3 linked regions of the Nothobranchius furzeri genome follow. The protein of the gene in region 1 purifies or fractionates together with the protein of each later gene. This does not show direct contact. Links are inferred from orthologs where the notes say so. Each region holds a gene or a part of one and is shown on either strand. Other genes may lie near its edges.

Region 1 (5,640 bases):
AGACAAAAAGTGATTTATGAGACATTAGTGAGGGCATTATGACTGAGCTGCATTGTACTACTGGTTTGGCTGGGACACAAAGGACTCTTGCATACAATGTTAGTGTTGCATCATTGTTTTGTTTCATATGTCCCAAACATCATTTTCTGACACTGAATCAGTAACCTCATTTCCAGAAACATTTATGTTGAGAGCTGTGAGACAGCAGTGAGGTGTGAGACAGCAATGAGGTGTGACACAGGGAGGTGGGAGACAGTGAGGTGTGAGACAGCAGTGAGGTGTGAGACAGTGAGTTGTGAGACAGCAGTGAGGCAACACAGTGAGCTGTGAGACAGTGAGGTGTGAGACAGCTGTGAGGCAACACAGTGAGCTGTGAGAAAGTGGGGTGTGAGACAGCGAGGTGTGAGAAAGTAGGTGTGACAGTGAGGTGTGAGGCAGTGAGGTGTGAGACAGCAGTGAGCTGTGAGACAGTGAGGTGTGAGACAGCAGTGAGCTGTGAGACAGTGAGGTGTTTTTATTTTTCAAGCAAGGGAAGGGAATGATCTGAGCATACAGGAGGACTGACCCATCATAAACCTTTGTCGGCTGTGCTGAAGAGAAAGGTACAGAACCAAATTATTTTATTAATTAGCTGCGCGTTCTCCTGTCCTCTATCCTCGGGGCCACGCACACACACACACACACACACACACACACACACACACACACACACACACACACACACACACACACACACACACACACACACACACACACACACACACACACACACACACACACAAATGGGACTGTCTCAGCTGTTATTTTTGTTAAGGAGTGCACACGTACAGCATGCGCGCCTCGTGCATGAGCCTACTATTGAAGCTGACATTATGCTTTTGGCCTGAGGGGGCAATCGCGAGCATAAAAATTCAAAACTCTGTAAAGTCCCTTCAATAATAATCAAAATAAAGTTATTCAAAATAGTTTCATTAGGTCTTGAGTAAATTGCTCATAATTAATGATTCAGCTTATTTGCGCATTTGTAATGACTAAACATAATGTTGGTAAAATGCTTTATTAAAACTGCTATTATACATGTTGTACAAATTTGGTGTTCATTTTTTCACAATTAACACACTATTATCTACTGTGTTTGACCATACAGTTTTATTGAACTTTTCTTTTTAATTAGTAGCTATAGTAGCCAGATAAACTGGGTTATAGATGCATGCATGGACGTGATTTTGGGAGGGGAATGGGGGGACATGTCCCTGACATGTTCCCCCCACTTTTTCCAAAATCAAGTTTTGACCCCTGTACTTTTTACCATCCAAAAACAATATTACGCTATATTAAATTGACACTGGTTGAGCTCTAACACCAAGCGGAAAACAGCCGTTTGTGTTGAAACCTGTTTCCCATTACAGCATACTGTAAAGATCCCCCCCCCCGTGTCCCCCCCCCCCCACTTCTCAAGTGAAAATTACATCCATGGATGCATGTACTGTCTTCACATAAAAATATAAAGTAATGACTGTAAAATGTATTCTACTGAACATAATAGATCATCATTCAAAACATAAACAGCTACATATTTCTTCAAGGTAAGCTGGAGCAGAATTCTAGCTTTCAATAAACCACTTTAAAATGGATATTACAACTCGAGTTTAGGGCTTCTTGTAGGACTTAAAGTTATTAAATATGCTTTTAGTAGAGCAGTGTGTACACTACATCAAATTTATTTCTATAACATATTACAGTAATGTATGTGGTCTAAATGTGTTAGGACTGTTGTATTCCTGTAACGTAGAACAGTCAAGGGTGTCGGTCTTCCTACAAATGCTTGGAAAAATATAAATAGGCTCCTTTGTGAAGGAATTAGGACATAATATATAATCCATCCAACCATTGTCCGAACCCACTTTGTCCGGGGGGGGGGGGGGGGGGGGGGGGGGGCAATAGGCAATCAGGCGGTGGACACCCTGGACAGAGAGCCAGTCCATCGCAGTATATAATATAATATATATAATATTATATATTATTATATTATTATATAATACTGTATATCAAATACAGGCCATATTCAATAATTACCTAAAATCACCAGGGGCAATGTGACTATATTCAGTTTTTGTGATTTGCCCACCGTACACCGTTCAAACTGACGTACGGCGCTGGGATGTTTGGAACTATTGAGAGCTCCCTGAACCACGTGGCCGCAGTGTCGCAACTCTGGCTCTAATTTCACAACAGGAAACGGAACGAGACGTAACATCCGGTCCGACCGCGCGATCCGAAAATGGCGGCCGTGGCGGAGAAATCAACGAAAGAAAGACTTTTGTCTGTGTTGGACGACTTGGAGGTTTTATCACGGTAAAATTAAAAATAATTAGAACGTTCTTGTTTATTTATTTAATATTTTAAGCTGATGTCATTTTATTATCGATCACGTTATTCAGCTGTTGGCATCGGTTCCGATCTAGAGTTCCTGGTGATTACTCTGAAAGTAAAAGATGGTTCAGTGTTTCTGGGTCTTTTGCAACCTTTATTATAACGGGCAACATATAACCCTTCTCTTTATGTGTGTGTGTGTGTCTGTCTGTCTGTCTGTGTATTTTCAGGGAGTTGATCGAGATGTTGGCTCTGTCCAGATCTCAGAAGCTACCTCAGCCCGGAGACGACACGCAGGTAACGGTCAGGAGCAGGTCTGGAGTCAGATCCAAGGCTGTTGGATTACACTCTCGATGCTTTATAACTTTGACACAGAGCTGCTACGTAGTACTCTACTGGTTTACGTAGTATCTTTCTCTTCAGCCATTGGCTAAAGTGTATTCAAAATGTCTCAAACTCTATGTTTTAAGCTGAAGGTGGCGCTATACTGTGGTATTTAGGCAGAATTTTTAAGTTTTAAAGAAAATGCACCAAAATGCTAAAATAATGAATACACACATTTAAAACACTATTAGACACTCATTTATACAGTTCATCAGCAAAAAAAAAAGTCAGCAAAAAAAAAGTTAATTTAGACGATACTTGCTCTTTAAATATCAGAGTCCAGCAGTTACAGATACATTTCTGTGTTGATTAGAACACGGGCAGAGCCTAAGCTCAGTTTACGTGCTCAATCCTGAATGTTTCCCGTATTTCGGGGAATATTTAATTTTCTTTAATTCCATCTCTGTGGTGCTATGGCAACATATTATGTTGAAAATTGGAACAAAACCGGTTCCATAGCATTTATGTCCTGTTTGATCTGATCATAAATAGTTCATCATACACCACTCCTATGTAGGGTTGTCACGGTGTGAAAATTTAACCTCACGGTTATTGTGACCAAAATTATCACGGTTTTCGGTATTATCGCGGTATTTTTTTAAACGTGCTACATTTTCAGACAACTAAATAAACCCTGTATGTCAGGAAATATTGTCCTCAGTTTGTGTCTAAATTTTGTCTAAAATGTGTTATTGTGTAATTATGTTGTTTATTTGTTTACATTTTTCCTCTTTAGTCTTTAAAGTATCAATATTTGCCCATAACTTCTTATTTGTTGTCTGTTTGATGTCATTATTTAAAAAATATTAGATCAGATGATACTCAGCACTCAAGTAGCCTTCTAATCAGATATTTTTTACCCTTACTTGAGTAATAAACCCTATATCAGGAAAATATTGTCCTCAGTTTGTGTCCTTCCAGTGAGCTTTGCAGATGTGGGAAAATGTCATCAAGCAGTAATCATTGTTAAATTCATAATTATTCTCGGAGAGAGACCAACTCTTATCTGTCCCTGGGAGCCCCGTAATGCATAGCGTCATTTCAACATGGGGGTGTCCGCGTCGACACGGTTTATATGCAGGTAGCGGCGCTGCGGCTGCTTTATATAGCGACTCGTTGCATTCTCCCTCAACCCAAATCCTCGGATCACACATTTTAGCTAAAACGCTAACGTTAGCTTGCCTTGCGTTGACTGTAGAGTTGTGGGTGATGGTCACGCAGATGTGTCATGAGATTTGAAGCGTTGCTGCCTTTCACAGACACTTTTTCTGCACGTGCTGCAAACAGGATAGTCGTCTTCTATCAACTCCCTCGGCATTCTTCAAATATCCAAAAGATGCCCGTACTTCCCCCTTTGTCTTCTTTGAGGGATAATAAATGTCCTGAGCGCTGCCGTCTCCTCCTTTGGCCATTATTTCAGCTTTAGCTTCAAGAAAGTTTTGGTTGTAAACAACAAAGCGCGCATGTGCCGCCGGCAACTTCAGCAGATGATACGGTGGCTGGTAAGGGTCACCGCAGCCACTGTAATCACCGAGATAATATAGTTTTTTTAAAAACAAGGCGGTTATTATTATTGTCAACTTTTTTCCCCAGAGTTCACTGCTACACCGGTTACCATGACAACCCTACTTCTATGTAAAGTATTTTAATATAAGTTTCAGTGGGTGCGCTGGCAGAAAGTCTTACCCTCCAGTCAGAACCTAAAACAACACCAGTAGGCAGAAATGATCAAAAATACCCGTTATTAGCACAACTGAATAATAAAACACCACGGGCGAGTTCCGCTGTGGAACTCGTCGGCTACTGCCTCTTGTCCCTTTAAGACAAAACCAGCTGTTCAGCATAAGTAAAATCAAACAATCAGGTACTTAGCTGGCCCAGTCGATGCGACCCCCTCCCCGGGGTCTGAGCTTCCAACACCGTCCAACGCCCCGGGGTTCAGCTTGCGTGGACGGCAGGTGAGTCCATGGCTCGGGTCCGGCTGCCAGAGTTTGCTGTGGCAGATGTCGGCGTGGTCTCGGCACCCAAATACTCCCAGCCCTCGCTACCTAAAGAAGGCGTCAAGCCTCCCGTCCTAGCACTGGAACACTGCCCACCTACTCAGCTGTCTTCATCGCCGGCAGTCCTAACCAACTGCGAACGATCCCACCCCCCAGAACCGGGTGTCACAATGACAGGTCGACCATACACACACACACCTTGGTAGATCTGCCACCCTTTTATCATCTCCGGCCTCATCACACCTGACAAGCACCAGCCGGCGTCTAGTTGCCACGCCCCCAGAATCTGGCAAATCCCATCTTCTGCCTTTCACAGTATGTTCAGGTACCCTCAGGAGACACTTTTTACTTCTCCGTGCAGATTTGATGTTATATTCCTCATAATGAGATGATGTTTGATTTCTGTATTGGTTTTATTTGACGTTGTTGTATTTTTGGCATTTTTTTTCTGCTGCCTTTTCATTTTTGAGTGTTTACATTTCAACTACTACCTATTATTGTTATTGTTGGAATCACTTTTCCTGGAAGATCTGAGGTACACTGGTGTCTATAATGATGCAGCAAAGTCTGCTGATTAGACATGCCATGGCTGTTAACTGGTTATCCTTTGAATATGAATTTGGATGTAACATTTGCAATCTGTTTTTCCCATCTAGATCATTGATCTGCTGGTGCAGAGGGACACGGAGTTCCAGGAGCTGATGGAGGTGGCCCAGCAGCAGGGGAAGGTTCACCAGGAGATGCAGCTGCTGGAGAAGGAGGTGGAGAAAAGAGACAGCGACATCCAGCAGCTCCAGAAGCAGCTGAAGGAGGCCGAACACATACTAGTAGGTTTGTTGTAGGAATTGCAATGCGGTGATATGATTTAGCACCATCTGTATGA
Region 2 (5,086 bases), on another chromosome or scaffold:
ATGTCTCTGCCCCCTCCTCAGGCCGGTAATATCCCGACAGCAGCCCCCTGGCTGGGCTCTCCTCGCCCCACAGAATGCTACCCCTCCACCATGGTCCACCTTTACCTGTGGAGCCCCCCATTACCGGGAAGCTCCCTGGCACACACACCTTTCCTCCGATGTGTTCCTGAGAGATCAACTGAACCTGGGTAAAAAAAGTCCCGACAGAGGAAACATATACGCTCGGTATTTGCTGGCAGAGCTCCATCTCCCCGGGGCTCTGACAGTCCCGCAGAGACGCAGCGGACCTGCTGACCCATGACTCCAGCAGGCCGGTTGCCCCCTCGTGCTGACACTGCAGGTGGGTCAGGTGAGCAGGTGCGGACTGGCTGAGGGGCATCATGCCATTTAACTGTCTTAAAGTCTCACTTTCTTCACTCATCAAGCTGCTTCTGAGCTCCGCCGGAGCGATGTTCCACTGGCGGAGTTTCCGCCGCAGCAACAGCGCGGGCCTTGACAGCAGACGGATCCACGAGCTGTCCTGGCTATCCTGTCCGACCGATGTGACCGCGGGGCCGGGTGGGTGGGACGAGCGTTTTCCTCCACACGTACATTCTTCGGCGTTTATGTTTCTGAACATTTTATCTACTTAAAGTGCACAAATGAATTTCCCTGAAACAGCAGCGGTTTTAGCAAGTTACACTGACAGCTGTCAAACCTCACTAGAACATGTTAAAGTGGCCGCCAGGAACCCAAAAGATAACGTCCATAAGCCCGGAGCCGGCGACATTCCGCTGAGAGTGGTGGTTAGACTTCCTCCGTGTGGTACCGGAGCTGGAAAACTGAGCCGAGCTGAACATGCTAGAGCCGTGAAACGATGATAAGTCCCAATGTGAAGCGGAAAAACGAGCCATCCTGTCGGGGCTTATCGCGGGTGGGAGGTTCTGCTGGGTTAGCAGGTTAGCTTAGCACGAGAAGCAAACGGCGGTTAGTTTACTTCCCAGCGACGACTTAAAATTATCGATTTAAATTCCGCTTTCTGGTTGGTTTCGTCGACTGTTGATGGAAGGGAGTTCTTCCCACCGGTAATACTGCCCGGTATCCGTTCAGAGAGGAGTTTTGGCCCCCGCACAACTCCGTGAGTCTGTCTATATGGCTGCAGTGGGAGATTTCATCAGAAAGTCAGAAGACCATCAGCAGAAGCCCCGCGTCTTCCTTTTCCGGGTAAACGGCAGACGGTTGGCGGCGCGGCACGGAGCGGCACGAACGCGCGGCAGAAGCGGAGGCGCGGAAAGTTTCTCCAGTTCTTTTTCAGAGGGAGCCATTTTTTATTTTACTCTCGATGCACTCCTACACGAATCTCATTAATATAAAGTAATTATTTATGCTATAGGAGGAAAAAATAGGACATGGCGTCACACGCTGTAAAGGTATAGCTCCTCTGAGTCATGGGTGCATTGAGGAGACCAGATGGTAACACCACCTTAAGGTGACATCTGGTACCATCAGGGGTGCCATGGGCAGCGTTTTGGCTAATCACCTGGTAAATTGCAGAAAAGCAGAGAGTGACACTGAAACGTGTGTTTCTGGTTAAAATGAACTGTGTTTGATGTATTTTGTTCAGGTCCTAGCTTTTATTAAACAAAAAAATGCTGCAAATTTTACATGAACCGTGTTTAGGTCAAACATGTATTATCCTAATATTGTGAAAGTAAACATTTTCTACGTGCTGCAAATTTCTATTATTGATTTAAATATGCAGTTTCGCTTATCGTGCTGCAGGTGGCGGTAATGCCACACAAAGCTGATTTCCTAACAGTCTTTAAACCAGACAAAGAAAGCTGAGCGGAAGTATCCTAGTGGTTCGGTTCGGGGTTCTTTGCTCCAGCACAAACATGAACGCACCTCCAGCCTTCGAGTCGTTTCTGCTCTTTGAAGGAGAGAAAAAGATCGGCATCAGTAAAGATACCAAGGTCCCGAACGCGTGTTTGTTCACTCTGAACAAGGAAGACCACACACTGGGGAACATCATCCGAGCGTAAGACACACACACACACACACACTCTGAGGAACATCATCCGAGCGTAAAACACACACACACATACACACACACACTGAGGAACATCATCCGAGCGTAAAACACACACACACACAGGGGAACATCATCTGAGCGTAAGACACACACACACACACACACACACACACACACACACACACACACACACACACACACACACACACGCACGCACGCACACACACACACACACACACACACAGGGGAACATCATCCGGGCGTAAGACACGCACACACACACACACACACACACACACACTGGGGAACATCATCCGGGCGTAAGACACACGCACTGGGGAACATCATCTGGGCGTAAGACACACACACACTGGGGCACATCATCTGGACGTAAAACACACACACACACACACTGGAGAACATCATCTGAGCTCAAGGACACAATTTGATATTGGAAAGAAAAAAAAACCTGACAGCAGCCGGCCTTCGCCTGTGGGAGGAGCTCTGACACAGGTGTCCTGTCTGGTGGCCCCTAATTGTGTGTTTTTGTGTGTCAGTCAGCTGCTGAAGGATCCTCAGGTTCTGTTCGCGGGTTACAAAGTTCCTCATCCTCTTGAGCACAAGATCGTCATCCGAGTGCAGACCACACCTGACTACAGTCCACAGGTAACCCATCAGGTCTTCAACACCAAATAAAGTAAAGATGGCTGTAGGGACTTCACCAGAGAAGTGAAGGAATGTGTGCATGCATATATATATATATATATATTTTTTTTTTTATATATATATTTTATTTAGGGTCCGTCGTATTGTCGAACCTCAGATTCAGGAGGACGAATGTGGTTTTCATCCTGATCGTGGAACACTGGGCCAGCTTTGTACCCTTAGGGGGGTCCTGGAGGGTGCGTTAGAGTTCACCCAGCCAATCTAAATGTGTTTGTGGATTTGGAGAAGGTGTTCGACTGTGTTCCTCAGGGGGCCCTGTGGGGGGTAGTCCAGGAGCATGGGGTACCAGGCCCTCTGACACGGGCTGTTAGGTCCCTGTATGACCGGTGTCGGAGCTTTGGTCCGCATTGCCGGCAGGACGCAAACCAACAGGAGTCAAGATGGTGTAAGCTGTGTTCTTAAACAAGATCATTTCTCATTGGTTTAGATAGAGGGGTTGGGGCATAAAACCTCTACTGGAGCCAGCCTCTGGAGGCTTTTCAGATCTTTCAGCTTCAACTTCTGCACTGTCCTCCAGCTGGTCTTTATACATGTTGGTGGTCTAAGCCTCATGATGCTGTTGGACCCAAGTGGGTCTGGATTTGTTTCTCATATGTTTTGTGTCTTGATTGGTTGAGACACAATAATGATAGAAATTGGAAACCTAACCAAATGTGATGTCATTTCCTCCACAGGAAGCATTCACCAATGCCATCACAGATCTGATCAGTGAGCTGTCTCTGCTGGAAGAACGCTTCAGAGTTGCCATCAAAGACAAACAGGAAGGCATCGAGTGACCCTGACCTCTGACCTCACCTCATTTTGTTGTTTTGTTTTTCTAAATAAACTTAAGATGTCAGATTCTGTGTTTAGTCAATACCTTTTACAAGTATTTCGACAAAATTGCCAAACACTATTAAAAATAGGGTTTGGAACTAGATCTGATCCCACTCAGATGTCCAAAGGAACAGCTGGTATGGAAATCTTCACCTGTTAATTCTAGCATTGATCAGCTGATCTTCAGGAAGTGATGTCACCTCTAAGAATTTAAACTATATCAAACAAAACAAAATAGTTGTCAATCAGATTTAATTGAATATTCTTTTAAAAGAAAAGCAGTAAAAAATAAAAAAAATCTGATTTTGTGATGTCACATGCCGTGTGGCCCCTGATCATGTGACCATCAGGGGTCAGAGTCTCTCTGAGCCTCCATGGCTCGCTGCATCTTCTCCACCATCCACGGAGGAACGGAGAACGGCTTCAACTCGTCCATCCTGACATCCGGACAGTCCCTAAAAGGGATGCAAGTTACCACGGCAACCACACACATCTCACCAGCTATCAACTACATCATCAGAACAACAAATGCTAGAATAAGGTCAATAAAACTGGTAGCTGGTTCTGTTCTAGTGATTAAACTGTTTTCTGCAGCTGGATCCAGAAGTTTGTGTTTCAGGTTGGATACTAACTTGTACTCATCGCTGTGAGACAAATCCTGGATGTCCTCTTCAATCAGAAGGTAAGCCTGCCGGTATGCACACACACACACACAATTGTTAAATAGGTTTTAAACTACCCATGATGCACTGCCACACAAACTTCATCTGATGACTGATTCAGGCGATCACCTGCAGTGATCAGGTCAGCAGCTAAAAGTGGGTGTGGCCATTTGACTGACGTGCGTGTGCAGATTCTCACCATCTTTCCTCCTGTTGCCCTCATGTGATGTCTCTCTGCCAACCACTGCTTATCCTTAGAATCTGCTGCATACTGAAACACACACACTTTTTTTTTTTTACTAATCACAGGAAACAGTCCCCTGACCCTTACTAGGTCCAGCAGACACCTGATGTCAGGAGTTACCTTGAACAGGTCAGCGTGTTTAATATAGATCCGTCCTCTGGTCCCACCCATCCCTAGTGCCCTGTGATGACATCACAGCAGCTGATGACTCACTTCTTTTGAGGCTGTTTGTGTTTGAGCATCAAAAGCATTTTGATCATATATGGAGTCATTAAAGATACTGAAACCTTTACCCGTCTGTTCAATTCCCTTGTCTGGGATGTGAACCTTTGCATGCATTACATTCTGTTTATCTTGTATTTATGTGAAAATAAGAATTTAACTTGGTGATGACTCACTTGTTGGCTCTGGACCCGAGAACAAATGTGCTGCCGTCGGTGAGTCTGGACGGATCCCACTGAAACAGATCATTCAGGTTTAGCACTAAAACTCACCTGTCTGCAGAGGACAGGTGGATTCAGGAAAAAGTGAATAAACATCAGTATCATCTTTTCTCAGCTGGTAATCCCTGAGCAGCTTTGATATTTGCAGCTGACTTAACCTGTACAAGGTGGTGAAACGGTGACA
Region 3 (5,634 bases), on another chromosome or scaffold:
TTTCAACCCTCCCTTCCCATTCTCCTGTGTGTGTGTGAAGGCAGCAGGAGGTTCCGACCCATCTGATAGGTGGAGCCCTCAACCAATCAGAGGCGATGGGAGGGGACTTCCCATGTAATCAGAAATGTGACCGGGCTCCCTCCAACAGCAGAACTTTGGGTCGGCACTAACAAAATGGATAAAGGTGTCTGGACCGTCATGGGACCCTGTTTGTGTTCCCAAGAAGCGAACCGGATCAGTCTTTAGTTCCGTTTTCCTCCGGACACCCACCTGTTTCCCTCATTATAACCGGATCCGTTATCTGGCGCCTCCGGTGGCTGCGGCAGCCGGGCGGGGGCCACATGCTCCTCAGACCCCCAGCGGAGTGGCGCAGAGTAAAATCGCTGCATTCTCCGGAGATCAGCAGAATTTCCATCGTGTCTGTCGTATTAAACCCAGAGAACCGCATCACGAGAAACTGGGCCTCACCATCGGTCCCGCTAACAAAACACTCCAAGCCCACCCCACTTCTACAGCTAAGCTAATACAACACTTACAAACCGCACCCGGGACCGTCCAGCGAGACAGAACAGAGGGTTTCTACCTTCTGTTCCCGAAGCAGCCGTGTGCAGGCCAGCCTGCTGCCCGGTTGTAGCTGACGGGTCCAGCAGCAGCACGATCGCTGTACTGGTCACAGCCCACAGCCTCAGAATGAATGACTCAGCTCAACAGAGCCACACTTTAAAAGGGGAGGAGGCCATTTTCGCTCACGTTGCTAGCCAGATTGGTGGGTGACGGCTAGGCCACAGACAGGTTCGCTAAGCTGCTGAGGGGAAACCAACAGGAAAACAACATTTCTGAACGCTTATTTGGTTATTTAACACTAAACCGCGAAGCCATGATGGACTCAGCCGCTGTTACCGCGAAATTACGCTCGCATGCACGGAAAGACATGAACTCAACCCAGTAGGACTCAAACCTTGGGATGGTGCGGAGGTCCCCGGTCCCCTTGGTCTCATCCTGCCGAGAGAACCACACCTCCAACAGCTTCTCGGTCCCTTCGAAGAAATGTGCACCGTTTTCCTCCATCATGAGACAACAGACGCCCAACAAAAAGGTGTAAACGTTGTTCGCAACGTTTGTATGTTAATAAATCCTTTCTCGATTGACTATAATTTATTGAGGTACAGTCATTAAAGTAATTCTGATGTTAATTTTCTTAAGTTACCGCGTTCCCTTTTGCAGAGAATACAGTTAGCGAGCGCTAGCTAATATCGCCGGCCATACTGTGTAAGCACCGAACGAGCCGCGGACAGCTCTTTTATAGCCTCAAGACTTACGTCACAGTGGATTGACCAATCCGCTTGTATGAGTAGAGGTTGTCCATTGTGATTTGTTGAGGAACCTTCCAATCGCACTGGAGACTGATTTTCCTCACGTGCCATTTTATTGCCACAAGAAAATAAACGTGGTAGGACCGTGTAAACAGGACAGAAAGCGAATTAACTTCATATAATGTTAACACACGTGTTTGCATCGTTAAATGCTGTTATTGTGAGTTATTTGGTTTTCATAGCTTGGACAAAATAATTAAAAATAGTTATTTATATCCCCCAAAAGACAACGTGGTCTGGGACAGCAGCAGTGTGTTTCCAAAATGTATGTTCTAAAAATGACCTGGAGATATGATCACAGGCTATGTTGTTGAACCGCTCACCTCGGGAACAAAAGCGTCCAACACAGAAGTCTGGACCACTAGCGAGCCGAGCACTCATGCGGACCCGTAGGGAGCGGGAAACGCGGGTTGTAGTTTTTCTCATTCTAGTTTCACAGCTAGTGAGTCGCGACGAGAGCTCAGAAGACTCCATTACCCAGCAAGCACTGCGCCCCAATTAGAAGCGTCAACGATCCAGTGAACACAGCGGAGCAGACCAAAATCCCAAACAAGGAAATGGTGGGGGAATAAAACGAGCAGATTATTTAATTAATGCGTGTAATAATTAATATTTTATTTTGTTGTAATTTAAGTCGTCTTTATGGGTTAACATGGATTACGACTTCAAAACAAAGCTGGCAGCCGAGCGGGAGAGAGTAGAAGATCTGTTCGAATATGAAGGTTGCAAAGTGGGTCGAGGCACCTACGGACACGTTTATAAAGCTAAGCGCAAAGACAGGTAAGACCACCGAGGTCCGGTTCCGTTCGCCCTGCCGGTCTCACGGTGCGTTTGGGTTCACACGGGCCGCGCTGGTGTTGGACGGGCGGCAGACCGAACCTTCCAGAGTGTGTCTGTGTTTTTGTTTTCATCTAACACACACACACACACACACACACACACACACACACACACACACACACACACACACACACACACACACACACACACACACACACACACACACACACACACACACACACACACACACACACACACACACACACACACACACACACACCTCTAGCCGCGCTCCTGTCCCAACACGTTTCACCAGAGATGTTTGTGTTCTGACGTTAGCTCTGTGTCTGTTCACCGGACCGCGGTGTCCCTGCTTACAAAACGGCGGGATTCCTCCGGTTTGACCGTAGACAGGTTGTGTCCCTGTGGCTTCTGTCCCTGGGACAGGACCTGTGTGTCCCTGTCTGCTGGCCCGGCCGCTGAGGGACCTGCTCTGTTATCAGTCCCGGTGAATGTTCGTGTGCCAAAGCTCTACTCCGATCTGCATAAAAGCAAAATATCATTTCCAGCTGGTGGGGGGGGGGGGGGATAACACGTCTCACCTTTATGTTAATATTGTTTTATTTGATGCCCTCCACTCTGAACTGCACCAATCCAGCAACTGCTGCATTTTAATAACTAGTATTAAAGGTGAATACACCAATATTTGCACAAGAATAATTTTAGTTTTAAACTCTCAGTGACACACTTTGCAGGGGGAGGGGGGGTGGCATTTAATTTTTCGTCTGGAAAAACATCTCCTTCTGCCCCCTTTATTTTGGTCCAAGACCATTACTGGGCTGGCCCTATTAAACACCTTCTACACCCCTGCTTAGTAGACTTAATGAAGTATTTTTAAGCCAGTATAAAAATGACTGAAACACAAATTTACATATTTGGCATTATTGACCAATATCTTTGATTTAATTTATTTGTTGAGAACATCAAGATGCATTACAGTGAACATTATAATAAAGTACATGTTTCTAGTGCAGAGAGGAGACAACCCATAGAAGCACTGGTCTGATCTCATTTCAGAGAAAACTAGAACAGGTCAGATGCACCTAATAAATAAAATTACTAACGTAAACTCAGGAATCTTGTTTCTTTGCTTCATTGTTCTGGTGCTGGAAACATCACTAATGCGGATCAAAGGAGACACACAGATGAATGCACCTCTTATTTATTATTTGGAAATTAGTGGGTGTTGTTTACATCAATACATTATTTTAAATCTGAAATTGATATGGATTGATCAGAAGTTGCTATGTGTGTATTGTTTATCTGAAAACTATTTACAGAGCAGCCTCAGAACTGAGATTAAATATGTTTGATCACAATAGTAAAGAAACTGTTACAGAACAAGTTTTTCAGTAAAATCAGAACATTATTTATTTATTTATTTATTTATTTAACTTATGTTTTTTCAGGAGGATAAACTGCTTGAGATGTAACATCTCGTTTTCGAGCAGGTCCTCCTACAACACAACCAATAACAAATAAGGTGGCAGAGTTAGAAAGTTGTAACAGAAATAAAAAAAAAAAAGGGGAAAGTAAATAATAGTAAAATCAACGATATGTATAAATGTATATATATACACACGTAAATATAAACACATAAGCAAGGATACATAGATACCAACAAGTGTACATACGTACATACATACCTATATACCAAATTAAATTAAATAAAACTGCTGTGAGGCACTAAAAGAGAAATAAGGGCAAGAAATTACATTATAAATAAATCTAAAGTGAAGTAGTATCCCAATTGAATACAAAGTTTGGCAACGAAATACAGCATGTTAGCCATTGAATGCACAAAATCATCATAGTAAAGATTAAACAAAGCAACTACAGCTTGGCTTTACATAAGCATAAACAGTGCGGGAAAATTTACGAATTGTTGAGATGGATCTTAATTCAGCGGGTAATTTATTCCAGTCCTGAGGAGCTTTAACACAAAAGGCGAGTCTACCCACCTCCTTTTTAAAACGAGGAACAACAAATGATGGAAGAGTAGTTAAGCGGGTTGAATACAAGGAATCAATGGGAACCAAAAGTGTTTTTAGATAAAGTGGAAAATCAAAATAAATGCACTTAAACATAAATATCAACCAATGAAATTGTCGTCTAGCTTTTAAAGGAAGCCAACCAAGAAGATCATACATATAACAATGATGAGTGTTAAATGAACACCGCAAAATAAAACGACACAAACTGTTATAGACGACATCAAGAGACCGCAGGCTAGAAACTGTTGAGTTTTGGTATAAAATATCAGAATAATCAATGATCGGTAACAGAAGCTGAGTGACGATGCACTTTCGAACAATAGGTTCAAAGCAATTTATTGAGTTATAAAGGATACGTAAACACCGTGTGACCTTAAGACATGTTGTGTGAATGTGAAATTTAAAAGACAGCTCTGGCTCTAGCCAAACTCCTAAATATTTCATTTTAACAGACGGTTGAACCGGGGAGGAATCCAAAAAATAAAGATTAAGAGTCCTGTCACTGTCAGATAGAGTTCTACTTCTGTGAAACAGCATGGAGTAAGTCTTAGATTTATTTAAAAGAAGTTTGTTCTGCATTAGCCAGAGCTGCACCTTGTCAAAATTAGGCTGAATAGCTTCTTGTAATTCGGATTAACTCGACTTAGAACAGTATAAGACTGTGTCATCTGCATATAACTGAACAGAACAGGATCTGCAGCACTGTGGTAAATCATTAATAAAAATTGAAAATAATAATGGCCCAAGTGAGGAGCCTTGGGGAACACCTCTGATGACACCACGCATGTTTGATTCAGAACCATTAAAGGAAACAAATTGAGAACGATGATGAAGAAAAGAACTAAACCACAGTAGAGACGGCCTTGACAGACCAAAAGCATATAATTTATCTAAAAGTAGATAGTGATTGACGAGGTCAAAGGCTTTTGTTAAATCAAGAAAAATCGCACCACCAAATAAATTATTGTCAAAACCAGAATAGATGTCATTAGAAAATTTGAGCAGTGCAGTAGTTGTCGAGAAGTTTTTTCTGAACCCCGATTGGTACTGTGATAGTAGGTTGTTATCCTCTAAGTATTTAGATAGTTGGATAAAAACCAGTTTTTCAAATACTTTAACAACTGTATTAATTATAGCAATGGGTCTATAGTTATTAGGTTCAGATGTATCATTTCCTTTATGCAGTGGTATTATTTTAGTACATTTCCAAGCTTTTGGAACAGAACATGAGTTAATTGAATGATTAAAAAGAATAGATAATGGTAAGGCTAGAACATCAGCAGCTATCCTAACAAAGCGACTCTCAATGCCATCTGGACCTGCAGCATTCCCACTAGAGAGAGACAGTATAACTTTACGCACTTCCTCAGAACGAATTTCAGAAAAAGAAAATCCACTGGAGCAACAGTGAGGCAGGGTGTAAGACC

What was found.
Region 2: the proteins of med4 (region 1) and polr2j purify together in Homo sapiens (affinity purification with mass spectrometry; 3 studies listed by BioGRID and IntAct, with this or other methods). This does not show direct contact. The link is inferred for Nothobranchius furzeri from reciprocal best matches to the Homo sapiens genes MED4 and POLR2J.
Region 3: the proteins of med4 (region 1) and cdk19 purify together in Homo sapiens (affinity purification with mass spectrometry; 7 studies listed by BioGRID and IntAct, counting the BioPlex papers as one, with this or other methods). This does not show direct contact. The link is inferred for Nothobranchius furzeri from reciprocal best matches to the Homo sapiens genes MED4 and CDK19.

The regions. Positions count from the first base shown.
Region 1 is NC_091754.1:35,365,147-35,370,786, forward strand, and holds the start of med4 (mediator of RNA polymerase II transcription subunit 4), read left to right. Parts: upstream 1-2,214; 5' UTR 2,215-2,281; coding exon 2,282-2,355; intron 2,356-2,603; coding exon 2,604-2,670; intron 2,671-5,413; coding exon 5,414-5,584; intron 5,585-5,640. UniProt on the Homo sapiens protein: Component of the Mediator complex, a coactivator involved in the regulated transcription of nearly all RNA polymerase II-dependent genes.
Region 2 is NC_091743.1:77,207,183-77,212,268, reverse strand, and holds polr2j (DNA-directed RNA polymerase II subunit RPB11-a), read left to right. Parts: upstream 1-1,656; 5' UTR 1,657-1,874; coding exon 1,875-2,017; intron 2,018-2,568; coding exon 2,569-2,677; intron 2,678-3,411; coding exon 3,412-3,513; 3' UTR 3,514-3,575; downstream 3,576-5,086. Other genes in the region: protein phosphatase 1 regulatory subunit 15B, read right to left, coding at 1-619; deoxynucleotidyltransferase terminal-interacting protein 1, read right to left, coding at 3,900-4,008, 4,186-4,241, 4,415-4,486, 4,580-4,640, 4,858-4,916. UniProt on the Homo sapiens protein: Core component of RNA polymerase II (Pol II), a DNA-dependent RNA polymerase which synthesizes mRNA precursors and many functional non-coding RNAs using the four ribonucleoside triphosphates as substrates.
Region 3 is NC_091742.1:28,595,521-28,601,154, reverse strand, and holds the start of cdk19 (cyclin-dependent kinase 19), read left to right. Parts: upstream 1-1,823; 5' UTR 1,824-1,930; coding exon 1,931-1,933; intron 1,934-2,007; coding exon 2,008-2,153; intron 2,154-5,634. Other genes in the region: amd1 (S-adenosylmethionine decarboxylase proenzyme), read right to left, coding at 959-1,071.